Lonchura striata: one gene and its partners. The protein of the gene in region 1 binds, or shares a complex with, the protein of each later gene. Links are inferred from orthologs where the notes say so. Each region holds a gene or a part of one and is shown on either strand. Other genes may lie near its edges.

Region 1 (7,521 bases):
GTAGGGAAGAGTAAAAGCTGATGAAGCTGCTACTCAGCAGCATCCTCTGTGATCTAGGGGGCAAGCTTTGCTGGAGGGGATGGAGGGTGGGAGCCAAGAAGCTGTGTAAACCCAGGGGAGTGCAAATGTACAGGAAAGGGAGACAGATGCATGCATGGCTTTGTGGTAAATGTAGAAGTAGGACATCCATGGTGGCTTCCTGGAATGGTTTCCTGATGCTTGGGTTTTGTGGGGGTTTCTTCAGGTTTTGGGCCAAGATGTGCTCCTGCTTTCACTCTCCCCATCATCTGGCTGGGTGGCTGGAGTCCCCTGGGACACATATCCAGGACCCCAGTCCTGTGACCATCCCTCTGCCCTCAGGAAGGAGAGGTGGTGAACGTGGATGCTGAGATGGCTGCAATCTTGCAGAGCTCCAGGTTTGCGGAGAAGTTCCTGATCCGAGCTGGTGGAGCCAACGCTGCAGGACTGCAGGGCTGCTGTAGCAAAGGAGTGAAGGTTGGTAGAGGGCAGCTCTGTGGCTGGGTTAAGGAATTGGGACATGGGTGTCCCAAGCCATCAGAGTTGCTATGGGGTATCAGAAGGGCTGTAGCATGATATCAAGATACATGTGACTCCTTCTGGGCTGGGCAGAAGCTCGTGGGATACCAAGAGTGATTGATGCCTGGTGCCTGAGTCAGGATAAAGTGTACCCCTACCCAAGTTGGAGCCCTCCAAAGGGGGATCTGCTCTAACTACCCCAACATGTCCATGGGGACTGGTGAGGCTGACAGCTGGACTTTTCTGAGATCTCCCAAGGGGAGTCATCCTTCCCCTGAGGGGATTGCTGTACACAGCCTGCCCCAGGGAGATGATGACCCATTCCCATGGTTTCTTCCTGCCCATTGCCCTCCTGCCTGCTGATAGAAGAGCAGATTGGCCCTGGCTGCCAACCCTGACCCTGTAGCACAAAACATTCTATCTGCTGGAAGCCTATCTCTTCTCCTTGGTGGTCCCTGAAGCCTGTAGATGGGCCAGGAGATACAAGTGAGATAATCCCCTGCAGCTGCATATCCCTGAAATACAGCCTCGTGCTTGGGAAGGGGAGATTTTCTCAGGACTCTATCCAAGTAGGAGGCATTTCTCAGATAAAAGCAGAGCCAAAGTCCCAGGCTTCTTCCTTGCTGCAGGAAAAAACAGCTGGAGTGTCCCAGAGGCTGCCCCCCATGATAGCTAAGGAAGTGCCAAGTGTCATTTTCTCAGGTGCCTCTTGCTTCCCACTGGCCTGATCCTGCCCTGGGTTTTTCTCTGTCCTTCAGGAGAAAATCTGTGATCCCTTCCAGCTGCTGGAGCAGCTGAGAGCCCCAGGTCCTGCTAGCTGTTCTGGTGGCACCTGTGGTCCTCCAGGGTGCTGCTGAGTGGCAAGTGGTGTCCCCACACCACTGTTGGAAGTCAGTGGAATGAGAGGACGTGGCTCCAGTAACGTCTTCCACCAGAGAGCAAATAAATACATGTCTGAGCTCAAAGGTTGTGTTTGTAGCTGCCACAGGGCCGTGGGTGCTGTGCTTCCCTGGCAGGGCTGGTGGGGCAGGTTGTGCCTGGTTGCAGTGAGGTCCCATCCTGTGAGTCCCCTCACTGTGGGGCTGACTGTGGCTGCATGGCTTGGGCACACAAGCAGGGACAGTCTCTGTCTCACTTGCAGCCCTGCAGCCTGTTACAGGAGATGAGGGTTGCTCTCTCTTTCCCTGTGCAGCGCCACTGAGGTTTCTGTTTTCCCTGTTCTCCATCTAGCTGGAAAGCCCCGAGTCCCCAGCAGGCATTGCACCTGCAGAGTTTTGCAGGGAAATTCAGCAGTTCTGGAAAAGCAGAAATGCATCCAGCTGCATCCCACAGCAGGCAAAGAGCAAGGTGGGAGGGCTTTTAGGGTGTGGTGGGAGGTGATGGTCTGCATTCCTGCTGCCCAGCATGAATCTCACAGGACCCAGCCCACAGAAGGTGCTTGGGAAAGGCTGAGAGCTGCTGAACAGCTAAACTTAGAAATAAGGGACCATTTCCACCCCTTCTCACACAGTGATTTTACAGGAGGGGCCAAATTTCCCATCTCTGCCATTTAAGCATCAACTTGCTGTGGTATGAGGGAAGTTAAGAAGCAAACCCCAATAAAATTTGGGTTCAAAAAGAAACAGGCCAACACCAAGGATGCTCTGTCATAGCAGTAGCAGTGGCTGAGGAGGGTCCAGGTGTTCAGGACACCTGAAATTGTTCTGAAATTGTGTGGAATGACCTCACTGATGGGACCTTGGAAGGAAGGAGCTGTTTAATACACACACCCAACCCCCAGCCCTTTTTCAAGATTACTTACAAAGACTTCATCCAAGTCCCCAAGCAGTTTATCCTGGGAGGATTGCAGCAATTAGCTCCTGCTATCAAAGACAGCTTTCCCAGTGGGAAGGGAAGAGCAGGTGGGGTGTGGGGGAGTCCTACCTGCAAATCCCTTCATTAAAAAGAGATGAATCCCTGGCATGGTCTTTCAACTTGCCTGGGTAGAGCTGCACCCACAGTGAGATCCCCTCTCTGTGCATACAGAAAAAGGCCACGGCTTAAATGCCACTACATTTGCATAGCACTATGTTTTTCCGAAATTCTCAGCATGTCAGGATGGAAGCAACTAAGAGAACTTGACTTTGATGTGGAGCATTAGAGGTCCTCACCAGGCTGTGGGTGCAGTGGTGTCCGCTTTGTCTGGTTTTACTTGTGCATGCACAGCCTTGGGTTTTTTAGCCCTCAGTGTATGAAAAGAGGAAATCCTGCAGCCCTATCCCGTGTGAGGGACCCCGACATAATTTGTCCAGCACCCCAGTCTGTATTTTGGTGATTGTTCTCCTAGTGTGAAGCTCTGCAGCATTGGTGTCCTCCCTTGGCAGGCAGAGAGGGTGTTGTGATGGCAGCATCCAGAGGTTGTGATGGTCTGATTCACTCTGAGAGGAAAGGGAAGGGTGTTGCTGTGGTTCAGGGACACCTGTCACCTCCTTAGGGGAGCAGGCTGGCAGAACTGCCTTAGGATAAGCTGAATGAGCTTTGGGACCAGGCAAGATTTGTGGCTACAGGCACCAGAGCACTGTGCTCTGCTTCACATCTTGGGTTGCCCTGCACAATTTATTCTTCCATTTCCCAAGCACTTAAAAAGCAGGGAGGCTGTTTTACCGCCTCTAAAGGATGTCAGCCACCACAAGCCACACTGGTTCTCCCACGGCTGTTTGTCTTTGGCTGTCCAGGATGCTGAACTGTTTCCTGGCTCCTTCACATGTGATGGACATGGAACCGGCTGCGGGGCGTGTGCTGCCCGAGCTGGGACTGCGGCACAGCAGCCGAGGCCTGGGGAGCAGGCGGGCCCTCGGGGCGGTGGGCACGGCACACGGGGATTCACAGGTGCTTTCGTGGATCGGGGCTCCCGGCCCTCCATGAACTGAGAATGAGCGGAGCGGGGCAGCTGGGGCGGCTTTGGATGTCCTCAGCAGGAGCTCCAAGCCCCGGCCCCGCTCACCTCCCGGGGCGGCGGAGCAGAGCAGAGGTGAGGGAGGAGCGCGGCCGGTCCGTGCTCGGTATTTAATGGTTAATTCCGCCCTCAGGCGCGACACAGCCGAGGAGATGTCGGGGCGGAGGGCGCCCGGGGACCTCAGTGCCACAGCTCGGTTTCTTGAATGTCGCATGTACTGCACCGGCGGCGGCTCGGGGCCGACCGGGAACGGGCAGGGCTAGGAGAGCCGCCTCCGCAGCGGCGGATCCCGGCGGAGGCCCCGGGGTGCGCCCCGTCGGGCCGGGCCGAAGGGGCGCGGCGGGACCGCCAGGGGGCGCTGCGCGACCGCCGACGGATGCGGCGCGCGGACGCGGGGCGGCGCTCCCGGGCCACTGAAGGGGGCGAGAGGCGCGGCGGTCCGAGGGGAGCGGCGGCCGCCGTGGGCCGGGCGGAAGCGGCGGGGGAAGCGGGATCGCCCGGCCCGTTCGGCCGCCCTGTGCCCCGGCGCGGGCGCTCCCGGGACCGCTCCTGCCGCGCGCCGCGCGCGCCGGCCGCACCGCACCGCACCCCCATTGGTCGCGCCCCTCCTGAAGCTCCGCCCCCTTCGGCCCCGAACGCCGCCGCCATTGGCCGCGGCCCTGCGGCCGGCCCCGCCCCCGCGCGCCCGGCGTACACACCGGAGTCACGCGCCCCCGGGGCTGGGGCGGGGGCGGGGCGCGGAGGAGGCGCGGCCTGGCGCTGATTGGCGGCGCCGAGCCGAGGCCCCTCCCCGCGCGGCGGGCGGGGCGGGGCGGGGCGGGCGCGGGTAGAGGCGGCGCTGCTCGGCCCGGCTCGGCAGTTGCCGCCCGTCGGGTCCCGCGGGCAGCCGAGCCCGCGCCGAGCTCGCCGCCGCCGCCGCGCCCGCCGCCACCGCCGCCGCCGGGGAAGCCGGGGCACGCCGCAGGCGCCGCGCGGTGATGCGGGGCCGCGGCGGCGCCGAGCCCTGACTAAAGATGGCCGCGCTGCCCGGTGGGAACATGGCGGGGGGCGGCCGGGGGGCGCGGGTGCTGCTCTTGCTGCTCTTGCTGCTGCTCGGCGGCTGCCTGGGCCGGCGGCCCCCGGCCGCCGCCGCTGCCGCACCGCCCGCCGCCGTCGTGCCCCCGCCGGCGGCGGAGGAGACGGTGATCATCGGCCTGCGGCTGGAGGACACGGACGACGTCTCCTTCATGGAGGGGGGCGCGCTGCGGGTGAGCGAACGGACGCGGGTGAAGCTGCGGGTCTACGGGCAGAACATCAACAACGAGACGTGGTCGCGCATCGCCTTCACGGAGCACGAGCGGCGGCGGGGCGGGCGGGCGACGGCGGGGCCGGCGGGGCGCGGCGGGGGCGGCGGCGGGTCGGCGGGCAGCGGCGGGGCCCCGCAGCGCTGCGGCATCCGCACCTCGGACATCATCATCATGCCGCACATCGTGCTCAACCGCCGCACCTCGGGCATCATCGAGATCGAGATCAAGCCCCTGCGCAAAACGGAGAAGAGCAAGTCCTACTACCTGTGCACCTCCGTCTCGGCCCCCGCCGCCGCCGCCCTGGGGCCCGGGGCTCCCGGAGGGCTGACGGGCGCCGAGGGGCCGGCGGGACCCCCGCCCTGGGGTGAGACCACTTGGATCTACCATGACGGCGAGGACACCAAGATGATCGTGGGCGAGGAGAAGAAGTTCCTGCTGCCCTTCTGGCTGCAGGTCATCTTCATCTCGCTCCTCCTGTGCCTCTCGGGCATGTTCAGTGGCCTCAACCTGGGCCTGATGGCCCTGGACCCCATGGAACTGCGCATCGTGCAGAACTGTGGCACGGACAAAGAGAAGAACTACGCCAAGCGCATCGAGCCTGTGCGGCGTCAGGGCAACTACCTGCTGTGCTCCCTCCTGCTGGGCAATGTCCTGGTCAACACCACACTTACCATCCTGCTGGACGACATTGCCGGCTCTGGGCTGGTGGCCGTGGTGGTCTCCACCATCGGTATCGTCATCTTCGGCGAGATCGTGCCGCAGGCTATTTGCTCTCGGCACGGCCTGGCCGTGGGCGCCAACACCATCTTCCTCACCAAGTTTTTCATGATGATGACCTTCCCGGCCTCCTACCCCGTCAGCAAGTTGCTGGATTGTGTCCTGGGCCAGGAGATCGGCACGGTCTATAACCGTGAGAAGTTGTTGGAGATGCTGCGGGTCACCGACCCTTATAACGATTTAGTCAAGGAGGAGCTTAACATTATCCAAGGAGCCCTGGAACTGCGCACCAAGACTGTGGAGGATGTGATGACTCCCCTCCGAGACTGCTTTATGATCGCTGCCGAGGCTGTGCTCGACTTCAACACTATGTCTGAGATCATGGAGAGTGGTTACACCCGCATCCCTGTTTTCGAGGGTGACCGCTCCAACATCGTGGACTTGCTCTTCGTTAAGGACCTGGCTTTTGTGGACCCCGATGACTGCACGCCACTCAAGACCATCACCCGCTTCTACAACCACCCGCTGCACTTTGTCTTCAATGACACCAAGCTCGATGCCATGCTGGAGGAGTTCAAGAAAGGTGGGCTCGTGCCTGTGGTGGGGGCATGCTGGGGAGGTGCTGCTCGGTGTGCTCAGCATCCACCTGCTTGCACCAAGGGAGCTCTGCAGCGGGCCCTCGGGTCACTGCTCACAGAGGGCTGTGGGAAGGTGCATTCTGCGCTGTGAGTGACCAGTATTTAGACATCTCCCAGAGCTGCTTGTTCCCTGGGCCAGAAAGCTGATCCACGGCTGGGATGTGCCCCCAGCCTTTTTTCCCCCACTGCACTGGGATGTGTGTGTGGGCATGGTGCCAAGCAAGGTTGTTTTCCTTCTTGCTTTTTCCACTCATCTGTCTGTTATAGTGAGAACCACTGACGGGAATCTGCGCCCATTTCTTGGCTGTGTCTTCTCTGTGCTTTTTCAGCTGGCCTGACTGGGAGGAGTGGGTGGGCTGCTTGGTGCCTTTCAGGCTCAGTGCATACACGTGCTGAGATAAACAAGGCATTTTAGCTCCATTCATAGGCTCAGCCAACCGACTTCAGCTCTCTCCCCGTGTTCCAGTTGCTTTGACTGACACTTTGATCTTGTAACTCAAATCATTTCAATGTCTTAAAATGTATTCCAAAGTACCTGTTGGTGCTGCACTTCAGAGTTACAGCTCTTTTTCCCCAGGCTACCCTGTGCTTCAGGACCACAGGCTCAGCAGAGAGGTGACCCTTTCTACCTCTTTGGTGTAGCTTGTGTATTAGTGGCATCAGGATGGGACTGAGCTTTCAGCCTTTCTCTTAATTGTAGGTGGTGCTGACTTGACAAATGCATCTTAATTCGTGTTAGAAGGTCTTGCTTATGTGTAAGGAAAAAACATCTTTTTGTTTTCCTTTTAAAATCTGTTCCTCTCTGCAAACCAAATAATAATGCTGTGTAGCCTGTGCAGGAAGGACCTTTCAAAGTAGTTGTTAAGTGAAATTTCAGGCAGTTTGGATGTGTGGACTCCTGTGCTGGAAAAAGAAAGGCTATTTGGAGTGCCACCAGAGTCCTGGGTTCATACCTGGGAGATCTGATCAAAGTACCACAGAACAGCTCAGTTCTTGGGGGGTGATTTGCTTGAGAGGGGAAATCTAGTGGAGAATATTTGAGCTTACCTTTTAACTGCATAAATTACCTAGGGAAAAAAAAAAAGCTTTGTGAATTGGTGCATGTTCTTTCTAGATAAATTGAAATTAAGACTTAAATTTCAGTTGCTGTTTTGACCACATGCTAAGCTCTTGTGTCAAGGCATTGGATCTTCTTCATCCTGTTTAACTCGGTTTTTGGGGATTTGGAGAGTTACCTCATGTTTATTTCATCTTTGTTTATAGAAGATGAACGTACTCCTGCTTTTTACTGACCAGTGCAGTGGTGGTTGTCTTTCAGCCTGTGTGTAGAGATGGGGAAATCTTACTTGGGTTTGGAGGTGTTGAAGGAGAAACGAGGGAGGGTCTCCCTTGGCTGTGGTTTCTACAC
Region 2 (8,030 bases), on another chromosome or scaffold:
ACTACAGAGGGAAACTGGTTTCTACTTTTGACCTTGTTCCATCATTAACCTTTGCTTTTAGACTGCCTGTTGTTATTTTGCCAGTGAGGTTACCTGAAGGTCAGCCACATATTTCAGGAAACAAGAGGGAGAACAGGTGAGAATTCCTTTTCAAGATCTGTTTTCTTGTCTTCATATCCATGTGTTCTTTTACAGACAAAAATAAATAAATAAATAAATAAATAAATAAATAAATAAATATATATATATATATATATATATATAACCATAGCACACATGGTGACCAAAATGCCAGAAGGTACCAAGGCATAAGAGCAAAGAGAAAGATATTTTTGACTGAGTGGTTTTGCTTCTCTTGTAGCGTTCGTTCACCTTTGGCTGTAGAATCTCTGCATGTTGACATTTGTCAATATATCAGATAAAGAGCTGCAAATTGCTTCAAACGTTATTTACTCAGAGCACTTTCTCCCTTTCCCTGCAAGTTACATGAGTTTGATTAACAGAAGCCTCTAAGTAACTACTGAAATTTGAGCTGCAACTAAAACTGCTGACTGCTCTTGGCATCTATTTAATATTCAAACTCTCCTAATGAAAACCTCATTCTTTCATTTCTCTGTCCAGTTATTTTTATGTATTTATGCCCTTCTGGATATTTCTAGGAAATACTTTTGGTCACAATTGGCCACATGCATTTATTGTTAAAATGCATACTTAGAAATCTATCACCATTAGACCATTCAAATATTTTTTCCTATCAGTTTTCCAGCTGGTGAACAACAGAACTGTTCTAACTAATTTTAACTTCCTGTTTGGTCCAGCTTCTTTTCTATTCTGCCAGTGAAGTCAGAGACTGTTTTATCACATCATTTGTATTCTTGAACTAAGCACAGTTTGTACCTTTTAGGACATCCAATTCTAAATTTCTAGCCATAACAAATAAAGATTGTTTTTTTTGTTTTGTTTTGTTTTTGGTTTTTGGTTTTTTGGGGTTTTTTTTAGCATTTGGGAGCCTTTATATTACTGTATGAGCATCCTAAATCCAAGAAATCCACATTTTTATATGAGAGATTTTTCTACAGATTTAATTTTCCAAAGTAAGTATATGGTATTAACACGAAGGTAAAAATTATGTTTTGCTTTCCTGCTAATTATCCTATGAGTTGCTAAGATGGGAGTTTGTGCATGTCTGCTGTAACAACCTTGTACCATGGAAAACTAATGTTGAAAATTATGAGTAAAGTAGCCTCTTTCAGTACTTTCAAAGATAATAAATGCTTTTCTTCTCAACTTTAATTTGAAGGGTAAAATATTTTGCTCCAGTGATTAATTTTCTTAAACAGAGTTACCAGGGCTCCTTATATCAGTAAAACTTGGTAATTAAAGCAGCCACCTGCTTGCTAATCATAAAGGAATATTCACTTGCCTTTCCCCTATTAAAAACTGGGTGGGATGTAGAGAACAAGGTGAGAACAAACATACCATGTACTTTGTCCTTTTAAAAAATGAAATTATTCTCATGTGGAAAAGTGGTTTAGATTGTCTCAGTCACTGGTGTGCTACTGGGTGTTTTTGTTTTAGGGAACCTGAACCTTTTGTAAAATACCCAGTTTTCATGTCATTCAAACCATGATGTGCCAACACTCTATGTACATCTACTGCATGAATAGCATCACTGCTTTCTGCAGGACTTCTACATAAGCATTATTTTGACAGAATCTATTTAACTAATGAGAATGGAAATTAAAGCAATATGATTAAAAGATCTACTATAGTATGCCTGTCATTCAAGTTGTTTTCCAAGATAATTCTCACTAGACAATTTGTCATATATACTGCTGGATATGCAATTCCAAAGACAATACTAATTCCATTCAAATATGTTTGGATATAGACATACTCATTAGTATTTACATTTTAAATTCCCATTTTGCTGATATCTATTAAGTAACAAATACACCTTTTTGTCAAATTCACCACCAGAGTTTGCTAACTGCTAGTGCGACAAATGCTTGAATTTATCAGGTAGCTACTCTTAGGTTAAGATGTTCAAATTCATTAAATTGCACTGACAGAAGCAATGGATGATAGAACGTTGTACTGAGATTCTCAGGGTCAAAATCTGAGTCCCAGATTGATTATTTTTCATACAAGTTTACAGAAAATTATTCTTGTGACAGGATTTCACTGAAGATAAAGTTGTGCTTCTGTGCATAAGCTCACTTCCATTTTTGGAACCAGACTAATTACCTCACAGCCAACATGACATTTGCTCCATTAAAATACTTTGATCTCTTCCTTCCTATCTTGATGTACAAGTTCCTGCTGACAAGCTTCTTTACGAAGATAACTAACACTGCATTACATATATATTCCAATATGAAACTGAACTTCATTTTAGATGAAAGAAATGTTACAAGACTTGCTAGGAAAATCTCAGCAGCATCATGACTGCTATATAGGCTGGAAGGCATGCCTTAGGACTTGTTTTCTGCTTACATTCTGCTATTTTCAATGTTAATCTCCACTTTATGTAATAAAATTAATGTACATAAGGCTATGCAATGGCCAAAGGAATAATGTGTTTACAGTGAACAGAAAGCCTAATACATAAATTTAAGCTTGGCTTCTCTTTTGATCAAGTTTGTGGGATTTTCAGTGTATACATGAGAAATTTCTTGATTTTTTAAAACTGATTTTGTGTTCAGATCATGAGGTCTTGTTTATAAACTAGAAAGAAAATCACATTTATAAAATAGAATAAACATTTTTCTTTGGATATATAAATACACTGCATCTTCATAATCAGATCTATTAGCTTCATTTAAAACAGAGGGATCTTCTAGCTCTTTTTCTCCAGATGTACATCAGTGCTAAGTAACTAGACTAAACTACATCTGTGAAGTGTTATTATAACTCATGGCTACTTTCAGAAATTCTACTAGCTTTGATCGTGTTGTCTGTCCATGTTTAAATATCCTTCCCATTATTTTCCATTAGCTGAACTGAATCTTCCTTCTTGCAATGAAAGCCAATTACTTTTCCTATCACAGCAGCATCTCTGCAACAACTCTCTAGATTCATAGATTCTATTTTCTTCTCAATCAGCTATACAAGTAATAATTCTCAATCCTTTCCTATTTGTCTCACAGGAAACAATTCTGAAATATCTGCTTGTTCTTGATGTTCTCATTTCAGTCACCCTTCATTTAAAGAAGCATGAAAAGGCAGCATGTCTCAAGAATAAAAAAGAAGAAATAAAAGGTTTTAATTGTTAAGGGGAAAGCACTGCAAAATGTTAAAGATCATATATGATGACAGACGTATGATGAAATCAGTTTCTAGCAGCTCCTGTGTTATATTATTGAGAGGCCTACTTTATCCATCCCTGTAGTGGCTAAAGTAGTCTTTACACTGTGGTTCTCCCTGTCAAAAGGACACTTCAGGATCAAGAGACAGTTGCCAGAAATATCTGTGACTACATGAAAAACAGTCACAATGCTGAAGAGCAGGAAGGGCCAAGCCTGTATCCCTCTTTCCACCCATTACCTATTAAAGTACTAAAATTCGTCAACTTCTAAATGATTAAAAATTAAAAAATTCATATGTAGTAATTTAAATTAAACTTCAGTTGCTATTCAGATGTATTTGATATTGAATCCCAAAGTAAAGAAAGGACTGCCAAAGGAATCAATTTTTTTCTACACTAGATGTATGAGGAAAATGAATTATCCATTGGCAAGGTGTGTTTTGGGCAGGCACAAGGAGAACATTTTACTGACATTCTCCAGATACAGTAACTGAGACTGTCCACAATTAGTTACAAAATTCAGAGCAGTAATTGTAATTTTTTTTACCCCACGCCAGTTTACTAGATGTAAGTTAATCGCTCACCAGCATCCTTACAAATACTGATTTGTTGTTGCTCCTTACCTACTTACCTACTCTCCTAGTTAGTTTAACTACACTCTGGTTTTTTTTGCCTTATTTTTTCACTTGATGCCTCATTTCTATATTTTCTATCTGACTGTCATAGACATGGAGAACTTCCCTTCAACTTCTCCAGGAGTCAGGCATTCCTACCAACACCTTACATTTGTGGAAAAGCCTCCAGGTTAGGATGTCAGGTTGCAATAGGAGACATGGGCGTTGCTTTCACGGGTGCTTAGGGGAACCACCACAGAATCGATTAGAATGGGAAAGAAACCTATGAGTGCATCGAGTCCAACCTGTGACCAAACACCACGACTCAACTAAGTGGACGTGACCATGACACTAAGTGCCACGTCCAGTCTTTCCTCAAACACCCCCAGCGACGGTGACTCAACCTCCCTGGGCAGCCCACTCTAGTGTCTAATCACCCCTTCCGTGAAGAACTTCTTCCTAATGTCCAACTGAATCCCCCTACCCCCGGGGCTGCTTAGCACCATATCCTCTCGTCCTGTCACTGGGAGCCTGGGAGAAGAGGCCAACCCCCACCTGGCCACAGGCTCCTTTCAGGCAGTTGTAGAGAGTGATAAGGTCTCCCGTGAGCCCCCTTTTCCCCAGGATAAACACGCCCAGCTCCCTCAGGTGCTCCTCCCAGGACTCGGCGCTGCAGCCCGTTGCCCTCCTCTGATGTGCTTGGCTGCGGGATAACACAGCCCCGAGAGCCGCCCCGCGCGGCCGCGGCGCGCCTACGCCTTTAAGGGCGGCCCGGCCGCGCCCCCACGTGTGCGATCAGCTGACGGCGCGTCCCGCCCCGGCCCGCCCCTGCCCGCTCCCTCCGCCGCGAGGTGCGGGCGGCAGCGCGGCTCTGACAGCCCGCCGGGGCAGCGCCCGCGCCCCCCGCCCGCCCCCGGCGCGCCCGCCCGGCCCCGCCGCGCCCGCGCCCCGCGCCGCCGGCCCCGCCGCTTCCCCGCGCCGCCGCTGCCCCGCCGGCCCAGCGCTGCTGTCAGCCGGGCGGGCGCCCGCGGCCCCTGCAGAGAGCTCGGCAGCCCGGCGCCCGGCGCCGCTCCGGTACATGGATTACCTGGTAGGTTCCAGGCGGCAGCGGACCGTCGGACATTTTACTGAGCGGCTGGGTCGGTGTGGGGGGCAGCCCGGGGCCGGGGGGCAGCCGGGTCCGGCCGCGCTGCCGCGCCCGGCCCGGCGGGCTGGTAACGGGCGATAAAGCGGCCGAGCCCCGCTCATTTGGCCGCTATTAGGTCGCTGAAGCCGTGACCCGGGTCGCTGTTTTTTTCCTAAATGCTAGAGCTTAGGGCATGCTTCAGTGAACTAAATTGCTGCCGCGGACGGGATCAGCCGAGCGCCCAGGCAGCTGGTATTCGGGGGTAGTGTTTATGGCTTTTTAATGAATATTGGCTTCATTCGTCTGTGAAAGATCGTATCGCGGGCGTGCACCTCAACTGGGATCGTGGCTGGTGTTTGCACTCATCCGCGCACCCTCGGCGGACAAAAACCCTGTGGCGCGGCTGGCTAATGAGCAGGTGGCTTTGTTTTAGTGTGGTACCCGCTTACCTGGTCTTTTCAGCCTAGCAGTGGGGGGGCGTAACGAGCACATCCCATGGCTCTAGTCCGGCTGGCATCCCGTTGCTCCAGTCTTGTTGCTTCGAGTCCTGCACTGTGAACTGGTGCCCGCTCCTTCACCGTGAAGTGCTGCGAAGCGTCAGCTGGGGCAGTGAAGAGCAGGTATCTTCTGGTCATCCCTGCTTGTTGTTGGTGTCAAGTGCGACCAGGAAGTATTTGGAGTCAGAATCTTGACTCTATCATTCATACTTTTTCACTCGGAATGCTCATGGATGTAGGCTTTCAAGAGAGGGTCAACATATGCAACAGAATCTCTGGAGATGCTCTTTATAGTGAGCAGAATATTTGCCTTGCTGAGATGAGAGCTGCATGCAGTGTCTGGCTTTTCATTTTCTGGCAGCTAACTAAACCAGCAATATGTTCAATTAATACTTCACTAATCTTGTGTCTGTGGAGCTAAGATTTATTTTGGTTTATTGAGCCTTGCAACCCCCAAAAATGTTTTAGGCTTGCCTTTCTGAATTTGAATACTACATAGAGACACTAGAATATGAGTTCTGTGTGGCAGAAATGGTAGGCAGACTTCTCTTTAACAACCTAGTTAATGAAATACTGATAATGAACTTGCTGGGTATCAAGTGCAGCCTCATAGTTCCTTGAGAGCCTGGAGCTGTTTCTGAGGTTTTTTTTTTCCCTTTATAAGCTTATGGCCAGATGAAACTGGCCATTCTGTACTTTTTCAAATGCTTGCATGAACCTTTGTGATTGCTACAGGCTGTTGTGTGGAAGGCCAACCACTCTGAGAACAATAAATTTAATAAGCCATGCAAACTAAGAAGATGTTTTTGTATTAACTACAGAGGGGTGGGGATTAAATAGCTCAACTTTTTTTTTTTTCTTCCCCTGACTCTTGTTCTCCAGCAGGTCATTTGCCTCATTTTTGTTGTGTGGCCTTCTTTGGTGTCAGTTCTAAAAAACCCTCATAGATCATGAGGTTCAGGCACCTCAGAAAGTCTGCTGTAACCAAAAAAAAAAAAAAAAGATGGTCAGTTAGGCAACTAGTTGTGTACCCAGTCTGCCCTGGTATAAAGATGGGCCTACTCTTTATCAAGTTACAGTGTAAATATTAATCTATAGCTGTAGAACAATTGTCTCATTATTTCCATAGCAAAAAGAGCTATACATTTTAAGGAATTTTGTGTTTTGTGCATTTATGTTGGGTTCTTGCACGTATATGGGCATGAAAACACAAACAGAAAGTCTCTTTGCTGGTTCCTCATGTTGGGTACCTGTGTTGCGGCCTGCAGCCAGTGAAGTTTTCTCCTGTGCTTGCAGTGTGAAGCAGAGAGCAAAGGATGAGTTGTTTCCTCTTGCAGAAGTGCTGAGACAGAGTATTTGACAGAGTTCTGGTTATCAGTGGGGCTGAGTGAGGGAGTGTAGTGGAAGGAGATGTGGATAGATGAGATCAGGTTTGTTGCTGCATGAACTCAGGGGTCAATGCATCTCCACAAGGAGTCTACCCTCTTCTAGCCAGAAGAGTCTAGCTAGCTCTTCCCAAACTTGCATAGGAAGGTTCTTTTCCTGATTTTAACTGGATAGGACCTACATTGATGGAAATGTCTTTTTTCCATTAAGAAGCAGATACCAAGAAGTAGTGAACATCTGAAGCACCTTCCAATATTATCAGGTTATTGAAAGCATTCAAAACCATTTGGAGCCAGCTTGAGCTATGGCCTGAAACTTTTATGGGCAGATGCCCAGAACCTGCATAGTGCCTTCCTTGTGATCCTTGATTTATGGCTAATGCCCTTTGATAATAAATTGGTATTACAAAAGGATCTTCTGTGAGGCTCTGGTTTGTTTTTGCAGTTTTACATTGTACAAAAAAGTATCACTGGCCTCTGTATCTTTGATAGCTAGAAGAGGCTCTCCAACCTGGTGCCTTTTTTTATTTCTGTGTTGATATAGTTATGATGTTAGGAGTGGTGTGGTGGTTTTTCTTTCTTTTTTTTTTAAATCAACATGGCTAAGCCAAGTCCAACTTCTAAAAAAGAATACATTTTCACCCAGAGGAACCTTTTACTTAAATGTGTTGTTCTGCTTGCATTTAGTTAACTCTTTTCAAACATACTATGTGAACACAGCTGTGTCAACGTAGATTTGTAGGTTTTTGTGACTACGTAATCTAGAGTACTGTCTGCAACCTTCTTCAGCTTCATTCTTGCTACATTATGTCTGGAAGGATTTTAGTGTATTCAGAGACTTGTGTTGGTTGGCCTCTGTTCAGTAGACTATGCTTAATTTAAGAAGTTTTACACCATGATGCATCTTGTGAAAAGCATGGCATGTGACCAGTCTTATAGTTCTTGCTTGGAGAACTTGTGAGAAAACAATAAAAAGGCTTCGGTTTTTCTTATGTGCTGCAATTACAATGCAGATTTTTAAGCTCCTGAGTAGGCTTTCAAAATACACTTCTTCAGTGGAATCCTCTGCACTAGATGAAGTTCCTACATGCTTCTGTTCAG
Region 3 (7,566 bases), on another chromosome or scaffold:
CATCATCTCTAAAAGTTGCATTGACTTGTTATGCAGGAAGTTTTGAGATAATTTTTTCTTCCCACTTCTTGAACCACAAGAATACGCTTCTGGCATAGAGCATGTTGCAACAAATTTATGATAAACCTTTGGATTCTCCCTTCCCATTGGTGATATATGAATCTGTTTGCATAGGCAATGGGTCACTTTCCATGGTCGAAAATGGACAGTGTTATCACAGGATATCATAAGGGCAGGCAATTATTTGCCCAGTAGATAGGAGGTGCATCTTGTCAAGAGTACCTTGTGAAGGTGTGCTTCTACCTTGTGTTATGGCTTTGCAGTTTGTACCCCTTACCCTCTCACTCTTCACTGTCTGCTTTGGCAGTTGCTGCTGATGCCTTGAATAGTAAGAAGCTGGAGGTATTTGTCATTCTTTTTGTTGGGTAGTAAGTTAGAACAATGAGCTTCCTTGCAGGTGTCAAATTGTGAAACTTCGTTTATTTTAATTTTCTAGTGTTAGTCCTGTGGTTTCAGTAGGTGAGTGTGTGTAAGGTCTTGACTTAAGAGATTGTGAGACCACATAATTGGTTCTGGGTATAAATGTTTTCAGTCTGTGAGCAAGTGGATTGAGCAACCATGAACCATCTTGCACATGTTCTGAAGATAAAGTGTCACATAACTGTGTTAAGAAGTGCTTTTGTTTGCATGCTTTTCAAGATGCTACTGAGTTGTGAACCAGAGTGTCAACAGCGTAGAATAATGTTGTATCTGTCTGCTTTCCCCATGTCAATAATGATCTAATAGATTACTTTTGTAAATCATTTTTTCAGGCATGAGTGACTGTTTCAAACTCCAAATAAACAGCCATGTGAATCTACTTGTCAGTGATGACGGCTCTGTCCCAGAGAAGGGCATGAATTAAAGCCTTCCTTTTCAAAATGCCTTCCTCCTGCTTGAACAGACTATTCTCTAACTTCTGTCTTGAGTTGTAATGGATCATGCAATCATAATTAATGCAGCTATAATGGACAGGTCACCTTCTCTCAATAGGGGGTCTTGGCATATTAACCCTAGTTTTGTTTTCCAAATTTTTTTGGTGGCTCTGCCAGTCTAAATGTTGGACTTTCTGTTGAGATGGAAATTGCTACTTTTTCCAAAATCCTTCAGTGTTAAATTTTCTCGAGGAAAATTTATATATAAATTGAAAAAAATACAGTGATTCAACATACCTAACTTGATGGTACAAACAATGAATTGGTGTAACTCTTAAGAGTCTTCTGCCTTCAACACTACGTGTTTGAATTTCACTTATGCAACTTTTTGCTTTCATGCACTGTCTTGACTCTTTTGATAGCTTACTACCTAAACTGTATGAGACAAAATAATATGAGCTTTTGAAAGCTCATGACATCGTTTGAGTTCCCTCAAAGCCCGAGATCATCATAATTACTGCAACACTATTTTCGTAGCTGATTTCTCATCTCCCCAGTCTTTTTGCTGAAGTTGGGTCAAGCCTTGTACTCTGGCTTAACTGCATAACAGATACAGTATGCCCATGTACTACTCATCTTTCATTTTCATTTGACTCCCAGAACAGAATGAAGCTAGGTTGGCAAAGCTGTCTTGGGATAGTACAATGTGTTTCTGCCTAAAGGTTGGTCTGCCTGTGAAACTTTCCTGCTAGTATTGGTGAGAAGTGACGGCATTCACATCAAAGGAAACTCTGAGCTTTGGTCCTCTGTAGTGTGGCAGCAGTAGTTGCCAAGGCAAACAGTGAGGCTTAAGTACATGCTTGGTTAGGTCCTTAGATGTGTGAGTTACTAAGGTTCTGATGTGTCTAATACTGACTGTTAAGTCAGTAATTAACAAAATTAATTCCTTTGTAAGGGTTAATAACACATGGAACTCAAATGTAACATTGCATAATCTACTTGCTTTTGCTTTGTATAAGAATTTGAACTGTGCACCTAGTTTCTAAAATGTCATTAGCGATCTGCATGAAAAATAAGGATTTTTTTACTTAACTAATTACTTACTGCCTACCCTTTTCTGTGTTTACTGGTTTGTGTGGTATCTTGAGTACTCCTAGCTGGGAGTAAGGGCAACCTGCCTAGAAGACTGGATGAAACCTGATTACTTCATTCTTCTAACCTGCCCTGGTATGGCAACATGTTAAATGTTCTTTTCTCCCCAAAAGCTCAGTTTTGCCAATTGAAAGGTTTTCATCCTAATGACTCCATTCTGTGTCCTCAAGCTCACTTGCATGCATTTGTGTTTCTGACAGTCTTCACTCCCTCATCCTTTAGCAGAGCAAGGGTTTGTCTATGCTTCTTAGCAGTCTTAAAAAGAGATTGACAGGAGATCTGCCAGTGCAGTGCACAAAGCAGCACAAGACCTTGTGCAGCTATATCTGCTTAAAGCTGTCCTGTCCCTTTCTGCTGTTCCGCTTCTTAAACTAATTGAAAGCGACTTTAAATAAGTTACCTTCAGTTCTTTTTTTCAGTTGCTATTTTAGCTGTTCCCTAGATCTGGTCCTAGGAGGCTTTTAAATGCACTCCTGCCACCTTGCTAGGGCATGGCTGGTGAGTCAGATGATTCTTGGAGTCCTTCCGAGTCTGAATTCTTCTGGTTCCTGTTACTCTGTTGACCTTTGACTCAAGAGGCTCCTTCTTACTACTTTTCCACGCCTATTCTATTTAGAGTTCTTGCTCTCTCTCAAGTTGTTAAAAGTAAATACTGAAGTAGCTTTTTTTACAAGTAGCTGACTAACTTAATCCTGGAGTCTGCATCACTACCAGGTGATGGTAGTATCTCTGGAGTGGCAGCAAAGTGGATGTGAAATTGTCATCTTAGTTTCTTTCTGTTGACTTCATTCTCGTGTTTATTAGCAGGTTGGAGTTTTATTGTGTGGTTTTTTGTTTCGTTTGTTTTTTACAAGTCACGCCTATGACTTAACACACACATCAAAACTCTTACCAGGAAGCTGTCTGAAAACATGAAAATAGGTTGACTGATAAACATAAATAACTTTTTCTGCTAAATATTTCTAGGATTGATAGTTTCTCTCAAATACCTAAGTATATTTAGTGGACATGTGATTCAACTTGTACCTCTTTTGGAAAACAGAACTCCCCTCTTCTTCTCTCCTGTGTCCTAGACAGGTATAAGCAGTAATAGTGGTAGAGTAGCTGGGCACAAAACTTAATGCATCTATCTGCTGTAAGGGTTTTACAGGTGTAAAAAAGCACCTATGGGTAGTTCATTTGCAACATCTGCAAATAAATAAACAACTTGGAGCAGTTCATTTGCTATCTTAATTCATGGTTGCTTCTTCCAGTAATTATATGTATAAATTCAACCATAGCTAAGCAGCATACTAGTGGACAGGAATGACCTGTTCAAGAAACTTGCCTATGTTTTTAGCTAGACCATTACTGCTTTCTGTGTATATTAATGAAGTCATGGTGTAAAAAGACTGCTAAAGCATATGAAGGTTGCCATTGGTCTTTAGCACTTATTGTGTAAAACGTTTCTTAGTTAGTAAAGTGTATGCCTCAGAAGCTTCTGTTTAAAAGCCCATGTTGTACTCTTAGGCCACAAAGCCTGCATTTGCTTTCAAGGCCTACTGTTTGAGTCAGGTGGATTTATACACATTTTTTTCTGTAACTTTAGTAATTGTGATGTCTCTCAATTCAAAATGGGGAAGGAAGTTGCATGGGTACCCTGGGAGAACTATTCTTTTTATAAATACTGGGATTTTTAAAACTTGTTGCTGTGTTTTGCACATCTGAAATTGGTATTTTAATACATTACAGGATTTGGTGTTGCAAAAACTCTACATGGAAACTTTGTAATAGATAAATTTATTTATTTTCTAGTAATCCATGCTAAAAAAGGTAACAGGATTCTTGCACAAACCTAATTCTTGGAATAAAAATAAACCTTGTGAAACCCTTAGTTGCTGTGGGTTTTTTTCATGTTATAAAGCTTGATGTCTTAAAACCTTGTTTCACCTGTATTCATTATGCTTTTCCCCCTGCCCCCCTCTCTTTACAGCAGTTCTGTGGTGTTCTTGGTCACACATTTATGGAGTTTCTGAAGGGCAGTGGAGACTACTGCCAGGCACAGCACGACCTCTATGCAGACAAGTGAACTGTAGAAATCCATTACTACTCCACCAAGAAGCCCCCCTAAGAGTGGTTGACCAGGATAAGAAGTGTTGAATTGAAATCGGCAGAGCATTTACCAACGAAATTCAGACCTGGATGGGGTAAACCTCAGTGCACTGCCTTTCTTTTGCCTCAGTATTACTGGATTGAAGAATTGCTGCTTCTTGTTAGGAGGTTCATTTCATTTCCCATTGCTCCCAACATCATACTTCCAAGCACTGAGAATTTCACGTGGAGTATAGTGAAGTAGACTTCAGTTTCTCTACATCAATTCTGTATTAGAATTTTTTTTAATCCTTTCATAATCTTGTTGCATGTTTAACTAAATCAATATGGCCCGAATGAACCGCCCAGCTCCTGTGGAAATCACCTACAAGAACATGAGATTCCTGATCACACATAATCCAACCAATGCAACCTTAAACAAATTTATAGAGGTAAGGCCAGTACAGAATTCTTACGGATGTATTTTTTTAATCCCTGGACAGCATGCTATATTTATATATAAATAAATATATATTTACTAGCTGATAACCGCTCTAAAAGCGATATGAGGAGATACTGAGACTGTATATTGATTTTTATTTTCAAACTGGTGATGTGTTTTGAAGATCTGTAGACAAATCTGCAGATATCTGCAAATCTGCAGACAAATTATATATATTTTGGCCTTCACAAATGTAATTCTGAGAGTGAAGTAATAATTATACTGTCTAGTACATGGTACATTAAGTACATTGTTTAGGTCTGAAAACAGGAATTATCTAGCAGTGTTATTTGTAGAGCCATACAAACATCTCTTAGTTGTAGATTCAGATTGGGCTGAAGTGGTGTAATGTTTTATTGCACTTCCTGCATAGTGATACATAGTGTGGGTTAGAACCTGAGGAACTAGTAATAGGATTGCAATGTGCTTTCACTGCCTAGCTTCCTTTACTATTAGCAGATCGTGGTTTTAGTGTAGTTTAAGAGGATCCTCTGTGTCATAGTGCCTACATGAGTGAAATTTGTGGCACTCAGAGCTGCTGAAGCTGCTTCAAGTGCTTTGGTAAATGCTACTGACTAAAGCCAGTGGCTTGGGATATATTGGTAGTACTGAATTTATCATCTAAACCATGTATTTAGCATGTTGGAACTGTAAAGTGCATGGTTGTATAAAGTGTGTGTGTATGCTGATAAGTTCCTACAGAGCTACTTCATGAGAAGGTCCAAGTTTGCCAGGTCACTCCTTAGCAAGATTTTAGATGTACTGCACCTCAATTCTGTATTTGGTGCAGAATTATTTACAGGAAACAAAATATTTGCTTGACTTTATACTCTCACAAGTAGATCAGGTCTGCTTAGGCTATGCTTCAGTCATTACTCTGACAGCTGCAGTGTGAATGATATTTGTTGCAGGGAGAATGAAGAGGGATTTTTTTTTGTTTTGTTTTTTTTTTTATGTAGGGTAATAGCAAAATGGAAAGCTAAATTTTGTCTTGACATCTCAGGAACTAGAATAATTTATTGTCCTGTGCTTGTAGCTCTTAAGAGTAAGTGGTCTAAAAAACCTGTTTTAAGCAGAGGGAGAAGATTTGAACTTTGCTCAGAATGCTTTTAGTGAAATATGTAGCTTTGCAAAGCTTCATGGTCCTTTAAGATGAATGATCATTTGGAGATGGACTACTTGATTAATCAATATTTATCAGGATCTGATTTTAAAAGAAGAAAGTCCAACCCAGCATAACAAAACTTAGTCTGCACGTAAGACCATGTTTGCAGAAAAGCCTAAAGTATCTGGCATTAGCACACAAGTTTTTAGTCATTTCAGCTTCCTGTGTCTTTGCAGGATGGCAAGCATTTGCATAAGTTTTGCTACTGAGAATTTTGGAATGAGTTCCTCAGTTAGCCTATCAAGAAAATTAAATGGTTAAGTGAAGCTAGTTTACTCTTACAGCATTTTTTTTCCCACTCCTTAGGAACTTAAGAAATACGGTGTTACTACAGTGGTGAGAGTGTGTGAAGCTACTTATGACACTGCTCCGGTGGAAAAAGAAGGCATTCAGGTTTTGGTAAGTTGTGTAGAAGCAGACTTTGAAACCAATGCATTTTACTGTTCACTCTATCCCCTTCCCCTCAAAAAGAGATTATTTGACACCACTGTATTAACTTCGAGTGTATTCCAGCAACTGATGGAGTAAAGATGTGGAGACATCTTTTCTTGTCTGGAAAAAAAATCAATTTTTGAGCTAAATCATGTGAGCAATGAAAACTGATTGAGAGGAATCTATTTGTAATCTTGCTATAGCTAGACTATTAGAAAATTGTAGGTTTCAGTGGTTTCCTCAGCTGTCAGCTCTGTGTCCATTGTGTCCCCTCCGTTTCTTTGCCTGTGCATACAGCTTACTAGAATTCTGTCTTTGTGTTTGTAACCCTGTGTTCTAGGACTGGCCCTTTGATGACGGTGCTCCACCATCCAACCAGATTGTTGATGATTGGCTAAACCTCCTTAAAGTTAAATTTCGTGAAGAGCCTGGTTGTTGTATTGCTGTACACTGTGTTGCTGGTCTTGGAAGGTGGGTGAATGTTTAAAGATTTGTTGAATTGTCATCTGTGGCCAGACTTGTTAAGATCTAATACAAAAGTTTACTTGAGGCAAATGTAAAATAGTCATGTATCCAGCATTGGAATTACCTCACGCTTAAAAGTAGTTAAGAGGCCAGGAAACTGTTGAAGTTATTAAAGATCTTTAGGTCAAGAGATGATGCTTCAGTCAAAGCTCTCACAAAGTCTACATAATTAAGTTAACGAGTATATTCTTGTACTGAATATGTGAATAAATGCCCCATTGAGCTTTTTTGTCTGTTTTTCCCTAATGGATTTGGGGTTTTGTGACTTGCCTGGTTTCTCTCCATCTCCATTTCAGCAGTATTGCCAGTCTCCTTGAACCAAGGGCATTGTAACCGTTAACTGCAAACAAGTGGGTGGTTCCGGCACATCAAGACCAGCTTTTGTTCACAACCTATTTGGGGGATGAAAAGTGTTTTCCAAAGACCCAAAGCTGTTTGTCTCATTTCTAAGTGACATAAAAATTTTTAGGGATATTGCTAAATAGTCTCTTCTTAGTCCTGTTCCTTCTGTCTGCTGCCACTATCTTGAATAGAATTCTAACAACTGTGAGAAAATAATGTTTTTTCTGCTGTTCTAAACTACTTGGGAACTAGATCTGTTCAAAAAGGAGTTGCTATATTCTAGCCATGGATTTCAGCATGTTCAATATAAAATGGAGGTTTCTGGTCTTGTTGTCCATAAGGCTGACTTATCCACTGCATTATGGCTTCTCAAATAACAAAGTTCGCTGTAGCGAACTCTGTAGATGAATGTTAGTAGTAGATCAATGTTGCCAAAACAAATCCTCTTCTGCTGCTTAAAATTA

What was found.
Region 2: the proteins of CNNM2 (region 1) and ARL15 are in contact, whole or in part, in a crystal structure (PDB 8F6D), measured with the Homo sapiens proteins. The link is inferred for Lonchura striata from reciprocal best matches to the Homo sapiens genes CNNM2 and ARL15. Residues at the interface, in NP_060119.3 of Homo sapiens: Asn490, Val492, Pro521, Leu522, His523, Phe524, Val525, Phe526, Thr529, Glu537, Lys542, Ser543, Gln549; in NP_061960.1 of Homo sapiens: Tyr92, Ser94, Arg95, Gln98, Gln128, His129, Pro130, Gln131, Cys133.
Region 3: the proteins of CNNM2 (region 1) and PTP4A1 are in contact, whole or in part, in a crystal structure (PDB 5MMZ), measured with the Mus musculus proteins. The link is inferred for Lonchura striata from reciprocal best matches to the Homo sapiens genes CNNM2 and PTP4A1. Residues at the interface, in NP_291047.2 of Mus musculus: Phe526, Asp528, Val551, Asn553, Glu556, Gly557, Asp558, Pro559, Phe560, Tyr561; in NP_035330.1 of Mus musculus: Asp72, Gly73, Ala74, Gly107, Leu108, Gly109, Arg110, Arg137, Arg138, Gly139, Ala140, Phe141, Asn142, Lys144, Gln145.

Annotation. Positions count from the first base shown.
Region 1 is NC_134609.1:20,271,446-20,278,966, forward strand, and holds the start of CNNM2 (metal transporter CNNM2), read left to right. Parts: upstream 1-4,485; coding exon 4,486-6,058; intron 6,059-7,521. Other genes in the region: AS3MT (arsenite methyltransferase), read left to right, coding at 361-495, 1,296-1,394.
Region 2 is NC_134642.1:32,441,929-32,449,958, forward strand, and holds the start of ARL15 (ADP-ribosylation factor-like protein 15), read left to right. Parts: upstream 1-4,955; 5' UTR 4,956-4,999; coding exon of another isoform or gene 5,000-5,011; intron 5,012-8,030.
Region 3 is NC_134605.1:88,071,014-88,078,579, reverse strand, and holds the start of PTP4A1 (protein tyrosine phosphatase type IVA 1), read left to right. Parts: upstream 1-4,478; 5' UTR 4,479-4,483; coding exon 4,484-4,588; intron 4,589-6,109; coding exon 6,110-6,202; intron 6,203-6,575; coding exon 6,576-6,706; intron 6,707-7,566. Other genes in the region: uncharacterized protein LOC144246073, read left to right, coding at 4,039-4,134. UniProt on the Homo sapiens protein: Protein tyrosine phosphatase which stimulates progression from G1 into S phase during mitosis. May play a role in the development and maintenance of differentiating epithelial tissues.